Drosophila melanogaster: one gene and its partners. The protein of the gene in region 2 interacts with the protein of the main gene of each other region in a pairwise test. Each region holds a gene or a part of one and is shown on either strand. Other genes may lie near its edges. The genes, in order: stum, Pdcd4 and CG15646.

Evidence for each region.
Region 1: the proteins of Pdcd4 (region 2) and stum interact in a two-hybrid assay, tested with the Drosophila melanogaster proteins (one large-scale study listed by BioGRID).
Region 3: the proteins of Pdcd4 (region 2) and CG15646 interact in a two-hybrid assay, tested with the Drosophila melanogaster proteins (one large-scale study listed by BioGRID).

The regions. Positions count from the first base shown.
Region 1 is NT_033778.4:21,672,821-21,677,924, forward strand, and holds the start of stum (stumble), read left to right. Parts: upstream 1-2,080; 5' UTR 2,081-2,482; intron 2,483-3,253; exon of another isoform or gene 3,254-3,509; 5' UTR 3,510-3,694; coding exon 3,695-4,506; intron 4,507-4,568; coding exon 4,569-5,036; intron 5,037-5,104.
Region 2 is NC_004354.4:13,752,390-13,757,297, reverse strand, and holds the start of Pdcd4 (programmed cell death 4), read left to right. Parts: upstream 1-1,891; 5' UTR 1,892-2,045; exon of another isoform or gene 2,046-2,468; intron 2,469-4,908. Other genes in the region: Rtc1, read right to left, coding at 1-27; CG32625 (uncharacterized protein), read left to right, coding at 538-714, 783-1,040.
Region 3 is NC_004354.4:15,667,361-15,672,800, forward strand, and holds CG15646 (uncharacterized protein), read right to left. Parts: upstream 3,670-5,440; 5' UTR 3,424-3,669; intron 2,438-3,423; exon of another isoform or gene 2,091-2,437; intron 1,976-2,090; 5' UTR 1,935-1,975; coding exon 702-1,934; 3' UTR 525-701; downstream 1-524.

The DNA of each region.
Region 1 (5,104 bases), on a different chromosome or scaffold from region 2:
ATCGCGTGGGAAAATCTTATTGCAAGCGAATAAAATTACCCAACCGCTCCCAGTGAGCAAAGGTGCAGTTTTGAATTATATGAATTTTCATCCATGGGCTTGGCACACTAGATTAGGGTCAGCACTATTCCCGAATTTTGATTAGCCAAGCCCAAAGTCGAGATTAGATTGCTGCGCTCTCTCAACCAGATCAAGTGAATCCGCCAAAGAGTTTGGGCTCGGCTAATCGAAGCCCCTTCAATTGGGGGAATCAGATCTGCATCTGCACACCTGCACTCGTGGACTCCACGCTGTCCACCTGTCTTGAGTCATGGCGCAAAAAAAAAAGAGGTTAGAAACAATAAAAACAACTTGCGGCGCGCCGCCAGTGCCAAGTTTTCATGTCCAAGGCGTATTTATGTCAACCGGAAGTAGGTTTACTGACCCACGTATACCCGTGTGGCTGGCCAAACGTGGACTTCGGCTTTCTTCGGTGGTTTCTTCACCTAAACCCGACTGGTCAGTTGCCGTGGAGCTCCACGGCGCAGGACGATGTATAAGAAGGTATTTGCCCACGGCGGATTAGTTTTTCTACGAACGGCGAGTGCAGTGCATCGGATCGATGCAAATGCGCGTTGAATTTTTTGGGTATTCAGTTTTTTATTTGAAAATCTCTCACCTTTTTTTTTATGACAATAACTCTACAAGTAACGGTGCATTAAAAATTAAAACCAAACTGCCTAAAATCGGATAGAAATCGTCGGATATATCGCAAACATTAAAAACTTCCAACTCGGTTGTGTAGTGAAAAAGCCCAAAACAATTAACTCGTAGATGTCTCTAGGAATTCCCCGACTTGTGACTCCGTGTGACTCCACTGGGGGTTCGAGTTGGACCCCACAAGGGGCGGGTTTTTGGGGGCTAACACGACATTAGCCAAGGATTTCTCCGGCACTGCCACTTAAAAGTCCCCCCGTTCCGAGGGATTCGTGGCTTTGGTTTGGGTGGTCTGTGTTTGCACACATACCTGTCTTTAGGCGTTATTGCTGCCACTGCCGTTGTTGTCTTGATGTTGCAACAGTGCCCGGCTGGCCAAGGAGTTCGTAGCTGCGGGCCAAGTGTTGTTGACTCCTAGCCGCTGCACAAGGCAACGCGGAATTTGTTGCGGTTTTGACCCTATTCCAAAGCCAAGGAAAGTGCAGTGTACTCGCCGAGGGTCTTATACTCACTCAGTCGAGTGCAGGAAAAGCGTCCTTCTGCCGAAGCCTTTTGCAATATTTATGGGCAGAGACACCTTTCACACAGTGATTAAGTGATCCTAATTTTTGGGCGACGCATAACTATTTTTTGACATTCTAGCGGATAAAATATTCAAACACTTAAAATAAGGATATATTTACTTTCAATACTAAATCAATAGGCGTATTTTAAACTGATTTTTTTGAACACAGTAAAGGAAAGTTTTTATTAATACCTATCATTACGTTCAATCAGAGCTCTTATGTGCAATCTCCAACTCCATAAAACTGCATTAAAGTGAAATGAGCGAAAGTGTTCATTGAAATACATGCGTGCATTCAATAGATACAAGTGGCATTAAAGTTATGAGGCATCCCGAAAAGTATGAAAAATTAGCTGACTGAGCTTCTCGGTGGCAGGCAGTGCGGCGTAGAAGTACAAAAGTGTTGGAACATCGCGTGCCACAGACATACCAACAGGTGTCACAGCCAGCCGGGGGAAACTGGGGGAAGCAATCAAAAGTTGTCTAAGAGGCAGAAAGAGCTGAGAAAGAAGCACACGCCGCACAGATGAACACAACGACATGCAAACGGCTAATGCAGCCGCCTCGCTAGGCGGCGAAATGCGGAAAACTCGCGGAAAAGTCGCGGCGAATTGGCGCCCCCGGTCGCCTTTTCTTTTCGGCTTTTCAGTTCGCCAGTCTCGATATCTCAGCGGGTCTGCGTGTGCAAACTGTTGGGGCACCGAGTGTGTGTGTGTGTGGGGGGGGGGGGCATTGTGTGCTGTTTTGGATTTGAAGTGTAGGCAATATTTCTCTTGAAGGCCTCCATTTTGCTCACTTACCGCTGGTCGGCCATCAGTTTAAGTTAGGCAGCGGCCACGTTTCGTCGCGTTTCCATTATTTGTTGCGGCTTTTCAGCAAATACATTCTATTTCCGAATTAGACTAAACTTAAAACCCAAATGTAAATTATATAATGCGCTCCAGGACCAAACTAACACAGTCAGTGTGGACGTGGCAGGTATTAAAATTCGTTATTCAAGTGTGACCGAGCGTTAATGAGATGCAAGAAAACTGCGTGTAATGCGGCAAGCGATTAAAAAACCAATTCGCAAATAGGAAGCTTAAGCCGCCTGGGAGCCGGCCAACTCCCCCAAAACGCGTCATGGCCAAAACAAAACGAAAGGAACGAAAAGGAGCCGGCCAAGTCACTTCCTTTTGGCCCAAAGTGTGTCACCGAAATTCGAGCGGCGGGCCATAAAATGTAGGTTAAATATTAGGCAGAGGAAAATCAATGCGAACAAAGGCCATTCATTCACACCTTTCCTCCACCTTCCCCCCCAAAACCTTCATGGGCTACGTCATTTCGCTAAAATATCTGCGTACCCAGCCGCACAGCTCCAATTAAACCATCGCCTTCTTCTGGTGATAGGATAGTCTCAGCCCGCTGGCTTCCACATCTGCCGGGTCGTTCGACTTCAAGTGCAGTCACTAATGCGGCAATTTGCAACATGCAACGCCGGTGCAGCCAGCCAAGCCGAAGCCATCCGCCCAAAAGCAAATCCCCATCCCCATTCCCCCCATTCAAGCCTTTGAGGCCTCCTCATCAAGTTATGCTCTCGTTAGCGCCAAGACAAGCGTTTGGGAGTTGGGAGTCCGACTCGGATTCGCATATAGCAGCAGGTGCATGGCATACCATAACGATTCCGATTTCAAATCGGTTTGGTTTCGGGGCGGCTTTATCAGCGCCTCGCACGCAGCTATTTATAGTTGAATGTGGAGTGAAATGGCATTAGAAAATAAAGCCGTGCAGTAATAATTACTCTACTATTTTTGCCACAACCAGTGATGGAAGCGGACGTATCCGGGCAGTTGTACCTAATTACTTTTTTTTAATTGCTGATGAATTTAAATTACTTTACTCAAGCTATTAAAAATTTAGGATATTTGAAAAAAGTTACTTGGTATGAAGACAGAAATTACTTTTATTATTATTTTTAAAAATTCGCCCAGGTAAACATACTCAATACCCTTTTCCATCACTGCGAATTGGCAATGAAACCGGCAGCCCTTCAGTTTCGCTCTCCGGTTTTTGGGACTGCCTACTCCGTGCTCCGTGCTCCTCGTTCCGTTATCCGTTCTCCGCCGGTGAAGGCGTCGCGTGTACGTCTCTCTGACATTGCAAGAGGGCCGGAAGGTCTCGCTGGTCGTCTGTCTGTGGAATCAAAAGATGTGCGCACATGGGTGTTGTGAGTGATTTTTAAATACATTCTGTTGCTTCGAATAAACAGCTCCTGGCGTCATTGGTTTTGTGGCACTTAAACTAAAGCGAAGGACGAACGCGGAGTGTCCTGCGTGGAAATCGGCTTCCAACTACTGCAACCACGACTGAATTTCGCAAAAACGCTGCAACAATGGATAGGAAATCATAGTGAATGCATGAGGGCCGAAGATCGGTTAGCACCCATGTCAAGCCATGCAGCAGACCCTCTCGTACTCATCATCATCGCCATCCCCATCCCCGATGCCCATGCCATCAGCCTCAGCCGCACAGACGCCGCCACCGAACCCGAATCTGACACCGAATCTGAACATACGTCCAAGTACGAACCCAATACCACGACCCAGATCCACTGGAGGCGAGTCCGCGTTCCAGCCGGCCATCATCCCGGTTGATTATAGCTATCGCACCCATACCACCCGCTCCATTCTCTCCGCCCAATCGATGGCACCCTCCACGTTCGCCTCCAATCAGAGCTTTGTGCGCCAGCCCTCGGAGTCGGATGCCCAGCCGTATAGTAGCCTCTTTGGGGATCCGGTTCCACCGCCTCTGCAGCCGGATGATTACTTCGGAACAGCAGCATTTGAGACGTTGCGAAATGGGTCTGTGGAACTGCCCAGCTCCGAGGAGGATGCGCTGGTGGCCGCCATGGCGCTGAACGCACTTATTCCTGCGGCCAGGGAACGCATCTTTCCGAGTGTCCCGTACTCGAGGACTCCCCGAGGATCCCTACTGCCTTATCTCCAGCCACCCGACATCCAGATTCTGCCCAACTCGAGCGGTGGCTCCAGTTCAGAGCAACTGGGCTCACCTAACTATCGGCTCCTGGCCCCCGATGACATTCTGAACAAGCCGGACGTTTATGATTTGGAGAACGAGGTCGAGGAGTACACCGTAGTCGGTCAGAGAATGTCTTTCGATGATGAGGAAGATGAGCCGACGAGGACTCCTAGCCAAGCGCCCGCCAAGTTGAGTGTGTCCAGCATCACGACGGAGGACCACAGGGGGTTGGTATTTGAATACACCAATATATTATCCAAACTAATCCTTCGTGATTACCTCCTCTTAGATTACTCAGTGACTCCTATTCGGGAAGGGATTGGTTCCGTCCGGCGCCACAGCACTTTCCAGAGTTCACACGCATCCCACGATTGCGGCCCAGCTCCAAAATGATTATGTCGATGAAGCAGGATGAAGGACCTCTCTCCCCACTGGCCACCATGATCCAGGACATGAACAGCTCGAGCAGCGGCGGAGAGGAGCGAGTGGCACCCAACCAAAGCAGGCCCGTTAGCAGGGACGTTGTACTCTCACCGAAGCAATATCTGGAGGAACAGTTGGGTCTGGAGAGAGGTAGCCAGAGGCAGTCGCTGGAGGACTATAGAATGCCACCTCCACCGGCAGACCCGCCCCCTTTCCGTAGAACTGACTTGACGGAGCAGGATGACAGCCGCAGTGTGGAGCCTGAACATAGCTTAAAGCGGGAAATGTCCCCAGTTATCATCAGGGATTCAATACCTATGGGCGGAGATTATAGGTAAGGTTATCCTGTGGAAAATATCCATAAAGATAATACATATATTCAAGTTTTTCTGTCCCCTCTAG
Region 2 (4,908 bases):
ATTGCCCTCCTGGGCAATGGGCGGCATTTTATAGGCTCTAAACGCACCAATAAATCAAAGAATTTAGCAAATTGATCGGCGCACGTGCGTTAAAAGAGGTAAACAACGTCTATCGCCGGACTATCGGTTATCGATATAGAACACAGTATGGCAGCGCTCCTTAGGGCTGTCAAGTGTTGGAATTATCGCATTTAGTAAATAACATAATAAATTATTTACAAATGAATATATTTCAGAATGCATTTTTATAATTTACACAAGCACTGCAAACAATCGAACGTTTGTATTTTTATATTATTATTTTAAGAAAAAAAAATACTGCAAGCTTCTATTAAAAATACCAAACGCTGTAGGAGATTTGAATAGAATTGTTGTTGCGAAATTCTCTGCTCATTTTGAAAAAAATACTGCAAGCTTCTATTAAAAATACCAAACGCTGTAGGAGATTTGAATAGAATTGTTGTTGCGAAATTCTATGCTCACTTTGAAGTTGACGAAGGGGAAGTTCGCAGAAGGCGAACAAAACTAGTTGTAAAAATGTCTGCGGATCCAAAACTTTATGAATATGTCAATTGTCCCAACTCTAGCTCGCATTTGGTAATGCTGTTTAAAATGCCCTACCATTTGCCGCTTTGTGCCAAGAAATTTCCATCGGACGAATTAGCTCGCTGTCCATATAACAGAACCCATATGTACCCTATTGCCGATATATATGTAGGTTATGAATATATATTATATGTATGTAAGCAAATATTAAATTCAATTGTTTATCCCATTTGCAGGAACATATCATCAAGTGCCCGAGCTACTTACGCGAGGAGAGCCACAGCGACGCAAAAGAAGATGCCAAGGACTGTGATGCCAAGGAAAGTGATGCCAAGGACTGGGATGCCGACCCGCCGGTTTCGACATATGATCCGAATATCCACTGTGAGAAGAACCCTATCATTCGTCGTCTGCACGGAGCTACGCGCTCCTCTCGCCGGGCATTCCGCGAAAAGGAACGCAAGCGATTAATGGATTTGAATACTTTTCCTTAATCTATGAACATACTTACTTACTTACATACATCATATGAATACATACATATACATATACAACATACATACAAATAAACATATTTCATACATTTCGAAAAAGGAGCGTTTTATGTTAGCATAGATCAGCGTTTATTTAAAAATGTATTCAAATTAAAAATTAATAAGAGTTAATTCAAGGAATCTTCAACATATAATTTCATAAATATTCATATGGTAATTAAAATTACAAATAAGAGAGCCACAATTGGCGGCAATTTTGTTTTTTTTTTTTGCTTTCTGCCGCCACTTGGAAATGTACAGCAATTCCTGTTCAATATTTACTTCGTTTTCTTTTGCATCGCTTTCTGCCGCCAATTGGAAATGTGCTGCAATTTGGGTTATGTAGCTGCCCGCCCTGTTCAAAAATTCCTGGAAAATAAGATTTTACTGAATTGAATGTTTTTAAATCTTGATAAAAAGGTAAGATCATTGGGCGAGTATATATATACATCCAGTGAGTGTGTAAATAAAGTAATGTTTCATTGTTTTTACTAAATATGCATATGTTTGCTTGTATGCATTTCTTTCCTTTTTCTTTTAAAAACTACTTCTCTGAGATGCCACTCTGTTGGACCATTCCCAGAAGCCATCAAAATTCAATAAGTTTCGTTTATCTTAGTTTTCCTCATAGGCAGGCTTACTACATAGGATTGAATTTGTATTTACATATATTTGCAAACTTTTTAATAAACTTCCCCGTTTTAAGGGGAAGCTTCGCCAAGTGCGCTTTTATAACCCACCACCTTACCAGAATCGAACAGTCTGGCAGCACGGTCTCGCCGAAAAAGTATAAAAACCCACGTCTCGTCGCTCTCTGGTTCAGTCGAGTTGAGTTTTCACGGCGTGAACAACAGTGTGCGTTATTGGTTCCTTATTCTGCGGTTCTTCAATCCTTTTTGTTCCAATCCTACTGAAAAAGAAATCAAAAGTTCACATCGTTAAGCGGCAAAAACAACAAAAGCGAAGGTGAATAAGGCATAAAAAACAGCACACGCAACTGAATAGTTGTGGGTGTGCGAGTGTGTGTATGCGCGTGTGAAGGAGCCTTTTAGTAAACACTCACACACTTGTGTATTTTTTTTCTGTGAGACACAAGATATTTGAGTGCATTTTTTGCCATTTGCCTTGCCAACCCCTCTCCCCCGCACGCATATAAGAAGAGAAAGAGAGGCAGGGAAAAAATAAAGGAGCCCACGAAGAAAAGCAACAACTATTAAACAGGCTCCTCATCGTATAAAAGCAGCGCAGCCGCCGTCAACGTCAACTGCAGTGGGCCAACGTCGTTGCAGTCGTGTCGTTAGTTTTTGTTCTTGTTGCAGCAGCAGCATCAAAGACAGAAGTAGAGAGAGCGAGCGAAACAGCCGGAGAGACAAAACAAAAAGCACTTAGGTAAGTGGCAAAATAAAAAAAAACGCAGAAACAGCAGCAGCAGCAACAACAACATCGATCTTGACGAAGACCAATTCAAAGAAGCAAGCGAAAAAAACTGCCGGCGAATGCGAATATAAAAGCAAAAACGAAATTACAGTCGCGGTCACAAAATTATGCCATATTAGATGATTTCAATAAAAATAGGTGAAATTTAAGAATTTGTTGATGCGCGTTATTTGCTCCAATTGGAAAACGTTGGTCTACGTGATAAAATCAACCGGCACACACGCACGCACCCGAAAATTCGAGAAAAACTGAAACGAGGAAAGCCGAAACCGAAAAAAAAAACAGCTGCCCACATTGGATGGGGGGTGAATTTGTTTGTTTTTTTTTCTGCCTGCCAAACTTGTTCCTTAGGCTTTTTGATTTTATTTTCGTTGTCTCGAGGTTTATTTGCATTCGGCGCCCCGTCCAATGTTTCCATGTCATCCGATTTTGTTTTCCCATATTATCTACCAGAATTGCTGGCTCACAGTGGTGGTACAATTCACTCTGCATAATTAACGATTATTTAAGTATTTAACAAAATCAGATGCAAATGCAATATGACCTAAAGTATAATATGACTCCAAACCCGAGATGTGTTATTAGAAGGGTTCTGGACGGGGAATTTTGCAAACAATTCCAGGCAAAATACAAAAAAATTTCAATTTTTCTGGTTACTGGATGCCAAACAAATACAGTTCTCAGTTTATAAAAGGCATAACAAAACCATCAAATTTATTCTGTAGTTTCAAAAAGAGTGGGTGACACAAATTGGTTTTTAATTTCTTTTATATCTATTTATGCAATTCATGTGCGCCTAATAGTTCGATCTCTTCTGTTAAAAAAAACAAACAACAGCATTCAATGGTGAGAACGTCTCTGCTTCTTTTTCTTGTTCTTTTTATTGGACATTGCTTATGTATTTTATTTTTTGCGAAATGTTTGCGACGCAATTTCGACAGCGTCACTTTATTTTTATGCTCTTTTCCATCGCTCCTCTTTATCTCTCTCTCCACTTCTTACAAACTCAACCTTTTCCTGATTTCGGGGTTAAAAAATAATTTCGGACACGCATCAATAAAAAGCGCGAAGGTGGAAAAGAGATTCGAAAAAAATGCTGAAAAGCGTTCATTTTGTTATTTCTGTTGTTGTTGTTATCCGAAAAAGGGGGCACAACAAGTGCGAAAGAAGGAGATGAAGAATCAGATGAGAAAGAGACCGGAAGGAGACGGCAATAAAAACATAGAAATTCGTGAGGCGCACAAAATTTTCAAGGTTATACCGGGCAAAACAAACATAAGACCGGTAACAGCATATGTATATGTATGTACATCCATATTACAGAGGGGGAAATACATAAGAATCCGCGTTTAAAGAAGAGGAGAAAGCACAAGCGGCGCAATATAAAAAGCACTCAAAAAACAAAAACAACACATGAAAACACAAAAAAAAAAACAACACATGCGGCTCTTTTTTGCACGTTATCTTTGTTTTCATTTGTATTATGCTGACATCTATATGTACATGGATGAAAGAATTGTATGAGAAGAGTGCCAAATCGACAATTTTACAACCGAAAATTGCGATAATTAATCAGAAAAGTTTATCAAACGAATGTACATAATTTAAATAAATCATATTATGTATTCGTGTTGGTTTGTTTGATTTGATTTTATACATATTTATGTTTGTGCTATATAGCATTTAAATTAAAAGTGCAAAACAGCATAAAAACATTTCAAATAAATAGGGAAAACAAAAGCAGCTGGAAAAGTAAAACATGTGTATGTATGTAGGCACTTATGTACACCAAAAGCAATTACATAGGCATGGAAATACAAGCAACTTTCAATTTAGAGTTAGTGCGAAGGAGACGGCTATATTGCTTGTGGGGGTTGCAAAGCTTTAACGGTAACAAAATTATGTAGTAGCTTTGGTGTTGTTGTTGTTGCGTGACCTTGAATTTCGTCTATAGGGGAGTTTCGATACATGTCCCTATCGCTATCCCTGTCACACCCACGCCCATTGACAAACATTTGCAATTTCCAAGACGCAGTACCGTTATTATATACAGATGCGGTCAAAAAAATGGCGCGAAAGCTGAACATATTATTATGGGTATATCTTAAAAATGAAAACCTAGAAACTTTTTGCAAAATTGTTAGCACTTACAAAAAAAAATCCGTAAAATAGCGACCCCAGTCATTTGTACATAGTATATATTGACTTCTGATCTTGTCATTACAATTACTTTGTATTATTGTGAGCATTAAATTTATGGGCATGCCAAAGAGCTTGTTCTATATTTAGGCAAAAACTATTAGATTTGAATAGCCCGAAAAAGAAACCTAACTGAACTTGGAAAGAAGGGGTTTCTGAGGGGCCATTGTCGGCTACGTGCCAGACATCATGT
Region 3 (5,440 bases), 1.9 Mb from region 2:
TACAATTTGGTCGATTCTATGCAAATTTATGCAAATGCCCACCGTTTTGTAGCCTGTCGTTTGTCGTTTGTAGTTGTTGGTGGTTCGCCATTTGGTGGTGCACAGGTGCGTGATAAGTGCCGTGTAAAGGACTCGCAGGATATGCCGCAACATTTTTACTACCACAACTGTTACTCCCGCACCCTCTAGCTCAGTGCATATTATCCAGCATATCCTGCCAGCTCGCCGGTTGGAAATGAAAGGTCGACGGTGATGAATTCATGGGCGGAACGTGAGAATCCAGTTTAACTTCAACTCTAGAATATTGCCTCTGAAATATTGCCAAGTAATCCCCACGTAGAAGACAGTTTATCTCTAATTAATGGTTGTACTTATCTAACGCTAACAAGGACCCAATTGCGTTTACGCGGCAAAATGATCTTTACATCCTTTTAAGAATTAAATGTTCATATTTAATGGTAACAAATCGAACTTTCCTTTTTTAGGATATTAGGAATAATAAATTCGCAATTCAACTAGTTTTTCAAATCGGTTTTTTATTTGTCAGAAAAAAAAAGGATTCTTAGGTAATTATAGGATCTGTTTCAACATTCGTATTCCAAGGCAATGCTGCGCTTTTAGCCACTCAAAAAAAAAAAAAAGGTTTAGGTTATAACCAAACAGAAGTCAAAAATCAACATATGGACATGACCCGCATTGGGTCACTTCTCCACGAACAGATCCTCGGCGTAGGAGAAGCTCAGCCGCCGCTTGGTAACCGCCTCCACCCGCCCGCCGCATGATCCCATGGCCACCAGCTCCTCCTCAAAATCGCTGGTCGAGTTGTGCCCACTGTCCGGGCTAATGTGGCGCCTCTTCTGGGCGAACCGCTGGCTGGGCACTGCAGATCCGGACCTGGCCGCTGCGAGCAGCTTCTGCGCCGACTGCCTGACGCTGGAGGAGATCTTGGTGGTGATCTTTCGCTTGCGCCGCACCACCCGCTGCCTGCGCAGCTGCAGGGAATGCCGCTTGGCATCCTGCGATTCGGATTCGGTGGGCACGGGGGAGCGCACCTCCCGCTCCTCGAAGCCCTCCGCTGGCAGGGAATCCCTCCGCGAGGGCGACTTCCAGTACTCGCACAGATCGCTGGCCGGATCGAAGGCGGGGCGGTAGGTGGGCGATGGCGTCTGGGTGGAGCCGTGCCCGTGCCCGTGTCCGTGGCTGCTCCGGAGCACCTGCTGCCTGAGCCTGTGCCGCTGGCGGAGATGCTGCCTGGGCTGGCGGTGCTGATGCTGGTGCTGTTGCTGTCTGGCGTTGGGCAGCACCTTGCGGTTGCTCTCGAGGATGGCATCGATCATACGCTCCAGGGTCACATCGCCCATCTGGCTGGAACTGAGCGTATTCTGTTCGCCGATCGGAGGAGCTGGATGCGGATGGGGATGCGGATGTGGTAGTGGCTTCTGCTCCAGGTAGCGCGGCTTCTCGAAGTAGCTGTCCGGGATGCCCATGCCGCGCAGGGCGATCAGGGAGCCAGGAATGATGGCGGCATTGGGCGAGTACTCCGCCTCGAAGGTGGGCAGTGTGCAGGCGAACTTCAGGGGAACAGCAGCTGCTCCTCCAGTTGCCCCACTAGCGCCACTTGCTCCTCCCGATGGCGGCGTGGCCAGGATGTTGCTGAGGTCCTTGAGCAGTGGTGTGCGAGCATGGAGGCTCAAGGAGCTGGCCGGCAGCGGCGTGGAGGTCAGCTGGTTCTCCTTGCCTGGCGCCACTCCGATCGACTTCCTCTTGAGTTTGCCACGCAGGGCGTGGAACTCGCTGTAGCTGGAGCCCACCACTTCGGCCTTCTGCTCGAGAGATCCTGATCCCGATCCCGATTCCGATCCTGTTTGCGATCCCATGGCCAGCTCCTTGGCCAGATACGAGTTTCGCGGCTGGTTGACAGCCCACTTGAGCATCCTGGCAGCTGCTGTCTGTCGCTCCTGCGGTGCCAAGATATCTGGAAAAGTGGCAAAAAGGATAGGGCTAGTTAGCGATTGTCTATTTGCAAAGCTTCTCAAGCAGAATGGAATTGCAAAAAAAAAAAGCAAAAACAGAGCAAAAACCCGACTAACTTGTAGCGAAACGAGTTTGCACAGGGGCCTGCTTGGGATTTCGCCAAGGATTCGCACAGCTGAACGCCAGCTTCCCGATTTCCGCAAGGAGTTTCTGGTTCCGCATATCCTTGCGAACAATTGAGCCGGCACAAAGAGCCCGGGAACAAAGGAAAAGCGCGCTAAAGCTTCGCGATTTTCTGGGCCTCCGGTTCGCTCCTGTTCGCCATACCAACGCACTGCCCTCCAGCTGCGATTTAGCCCAAGGTTCTGCCTCGCGTATCGTGTGCTCGGGTGGTGTGCCGGCACAGGGAGAAATTATCACCCAAAATCAGGCAGGAATTTGGGGATTTATGCGCAAAAATCGGAATATCTATACATTTTATTTATATTATTTTTTAACTGATTGAACTATTGTTCAAATAATTTCAGAATCTGGGGAATTATTTGGCATCTAAATGGCTTTGTTACAATAAAGAAGATATTAAAATTGGTTCCAGATTTAGTACCCGATTAAATTATAAAAGCAATAAGCTATTCAAATTTCAATAGAAATGAAAAATGTTTACAACATTCTTTACTATAAAAATAAAATATTTAAGCAAAGCCCTTGATAGTCAAATTAGAAATTAGCGGTCCAATATACCATTTCATTAAATTTGCAAATCAATAGAAATTTTGGGAACTAAGTTCGCCAAGAAAGTTACTAATATAATTATTATTCATTTTGAATAGTAAATTTGTTGAGCTGCATGATTTTGAGACTGAAGATTCAAGTGATAAAAAAAGTGTGGCTGGGAGAACATATATATTTTTTGCCGTGTGAACTTGGGCAAAATGGTGGTGCTGCCGGCACACTCTGTTGCCTCGTCCTACTCCCATTCCTCTGCCCCATCCTCCAGTGGTGTCGATCTCCGGCCACTCGAGGAGTGATGGCGATAAGGGGGGATCCGCAGGAGTGAGCGATTTCGCTCATCTACTCGATTCCGGGATATGTACGTGCGTGCTAGCATTTTTGCGCATTTTGCAGCCGCCGCTCTCGTTTTGGTCTGAAGAGCACTCGAGCACTTGGGCCAAGTGGCCCGAGTTCGAAAACCCATTAACCCATAGCCCATTGCCCATATCCCATTGCCCAAGCTCAAAACCAAAACGCAGGAGCTAAAACCCAGCAAAACATAACCCAAAATCGCACGCGCACAATTTATACGTTTTTAGGCGATTTTAATGGGGTGTTTTTAATTAAACCCCGCTGCCCCAGACACTTCTGCTTTAATGCATTTTTAATGCACATTTAGCCCGAAAATATGCACACTGGCTTTTCGTTTTCCATTTCATGCACTTCACTTATCTTTACCTTTTTATTTGTATATATTTTTTTGGAATTTTTCGCGTTCTTCGTTTTTTTTTTTTTGGGGTATCCAAAGTTCAGAAATTGCTTCGTTTCACAATGAAAAATAATATAAAATTTTGTGGTATTTTTTCTTTGCACGTTTAAAAAAAAAATGAAAATAGGCGTAACGAGACGGGTGTTGGGAAATCAAAATTGTAAATTTTGAAATTTATTTCCTGCTCGCGATCGCAGAGAAATACACGTCCTGTCGCTGCAACAGACGAAAAGTGACTAATTCTACCCTCGCACGCAAACGTTGCGTGCTCACCTCGCAGAGCTTGAAACCCGGTCTCACGAGGCACACTGAAAACAAATATGTTGTACTTTGGGACCAGCTATACAAAATATTTTAAATGTATTACAGATTTTTGAATGAGAAGATACCCAACTATTTGAAACAGATTTTGATAACTATTTACGAATTTGTTTTATGCACACATAAAGATAACATTTAGGAATTTTGTATACAAATGAAATATATCCTAAATATATATCATAGTTGATTATTACATATTTTTAGTTCATTTAAAAGTATTGAACTACAGTCTTTTTTGACAGTGTACTAATGGAACCACCACCTTTTCAACAGCACCTTTCAATATTGAAGGTGAGATTGCCGTTCGTTCGCTCTCCCGATTTCTCTCCCCTGTTGACTGCTGAGGAATTTCGGGACTCGGAAAGGACATTCCCTTGGACTGAACTTGAAAACCTAGTGTAGCACCACCACTAGCCCGGCAATTTGAACTCGTCCCACCCCCCGGAGCGGGAGCGATCGGGTTGATATTGAAATCGAATGCTTTGCATTCCAATTCATCTCACATGGCATTTCACTTGGCATTTGTCAAGTTTGGATTTCCATCGTATAATGCTTGACAAATGCTCCGGCTAACGATCGGCATATATAATATTAATGGCCCACAAGGGACCTTCCATTGGGCCATCATCATTTGTGCGATTGATATACATGTTCCGAAATTGATTGAGATTTGATTTTGGGAAGTGTTTGGCAAGATGTCAGGAGTGACTTTTAGAATTATATCCTGCGGATTCGGTAAGTCTGAAAATATATACTATATTTTAATGAGAACTTTAAAAGCAGTTTCCTTATGCAAAATTACTTATCCTTGATGCTTTCGACTTTGATCATTTATGAATTAATCGAATATGTTTAATATTTAAGGCTGCGAAATACCAAATTCAAGGCACTGACAATAGAATCAGTCTAAACAATACGCCATATAGTCTTCCCTAGCCAGATCCAATTATTCCCTGTGTTTCGCATCACCTATTGATCTGCAGATCCTTTTCCATGGCATTTCGCATGATCCTGGGCAAATAAGCCGATCCGAGAGCCTCTGGTCCTTGAAGTGCCTGCCTGTCAATGGATGCCAGCTTTTCACGGCGATCCCAAATCAATCAAAGGATCTGGGTCCTGTGAACACACACAGACACACCAATACCAAACCCCACCCCCTGCCATTGCCCGCCAGGCATATCGAGTGGGAAAGCGGAAGAAAAGGGAAAGCAGTGGAAATCGAAGGAAGAAGGACGAAGGACGAAGGAGCCAGAGGGAAGCTCTGAGCAAATACAAATTCTAAATTATGGCCCATAATTCAGGGCCAGGTTTTAATAATTTTGCGCGCCCCGCCGGCGAAAGTAATGAGAGAAAGCAGAAGCAGAAGGTGAGGGAGCAGAGGAGCTCGCCTAGCCGTGCTAATCCCCGAGCGAACAGCTGTCCGGCCCAAGGATTGTGCATTGTGGGTCCCTATGTGTGATTCCTCGGATTTCCTCAAAACTCGGCCGCTCTGTCCTGGCGCTATCAGTGTGCGGCTTGTGATTCAAGATTACCTTTTCCCTACCCACTTTTCACTTTATCTAGATGTCCTTGCCGCCGCACGTTTCTCCAACGATGGCCAGCGGAATGGGATCCTGCACAGAGAGGAAAAGGATATACATTAGTTTAGATTTATGGGCACATATT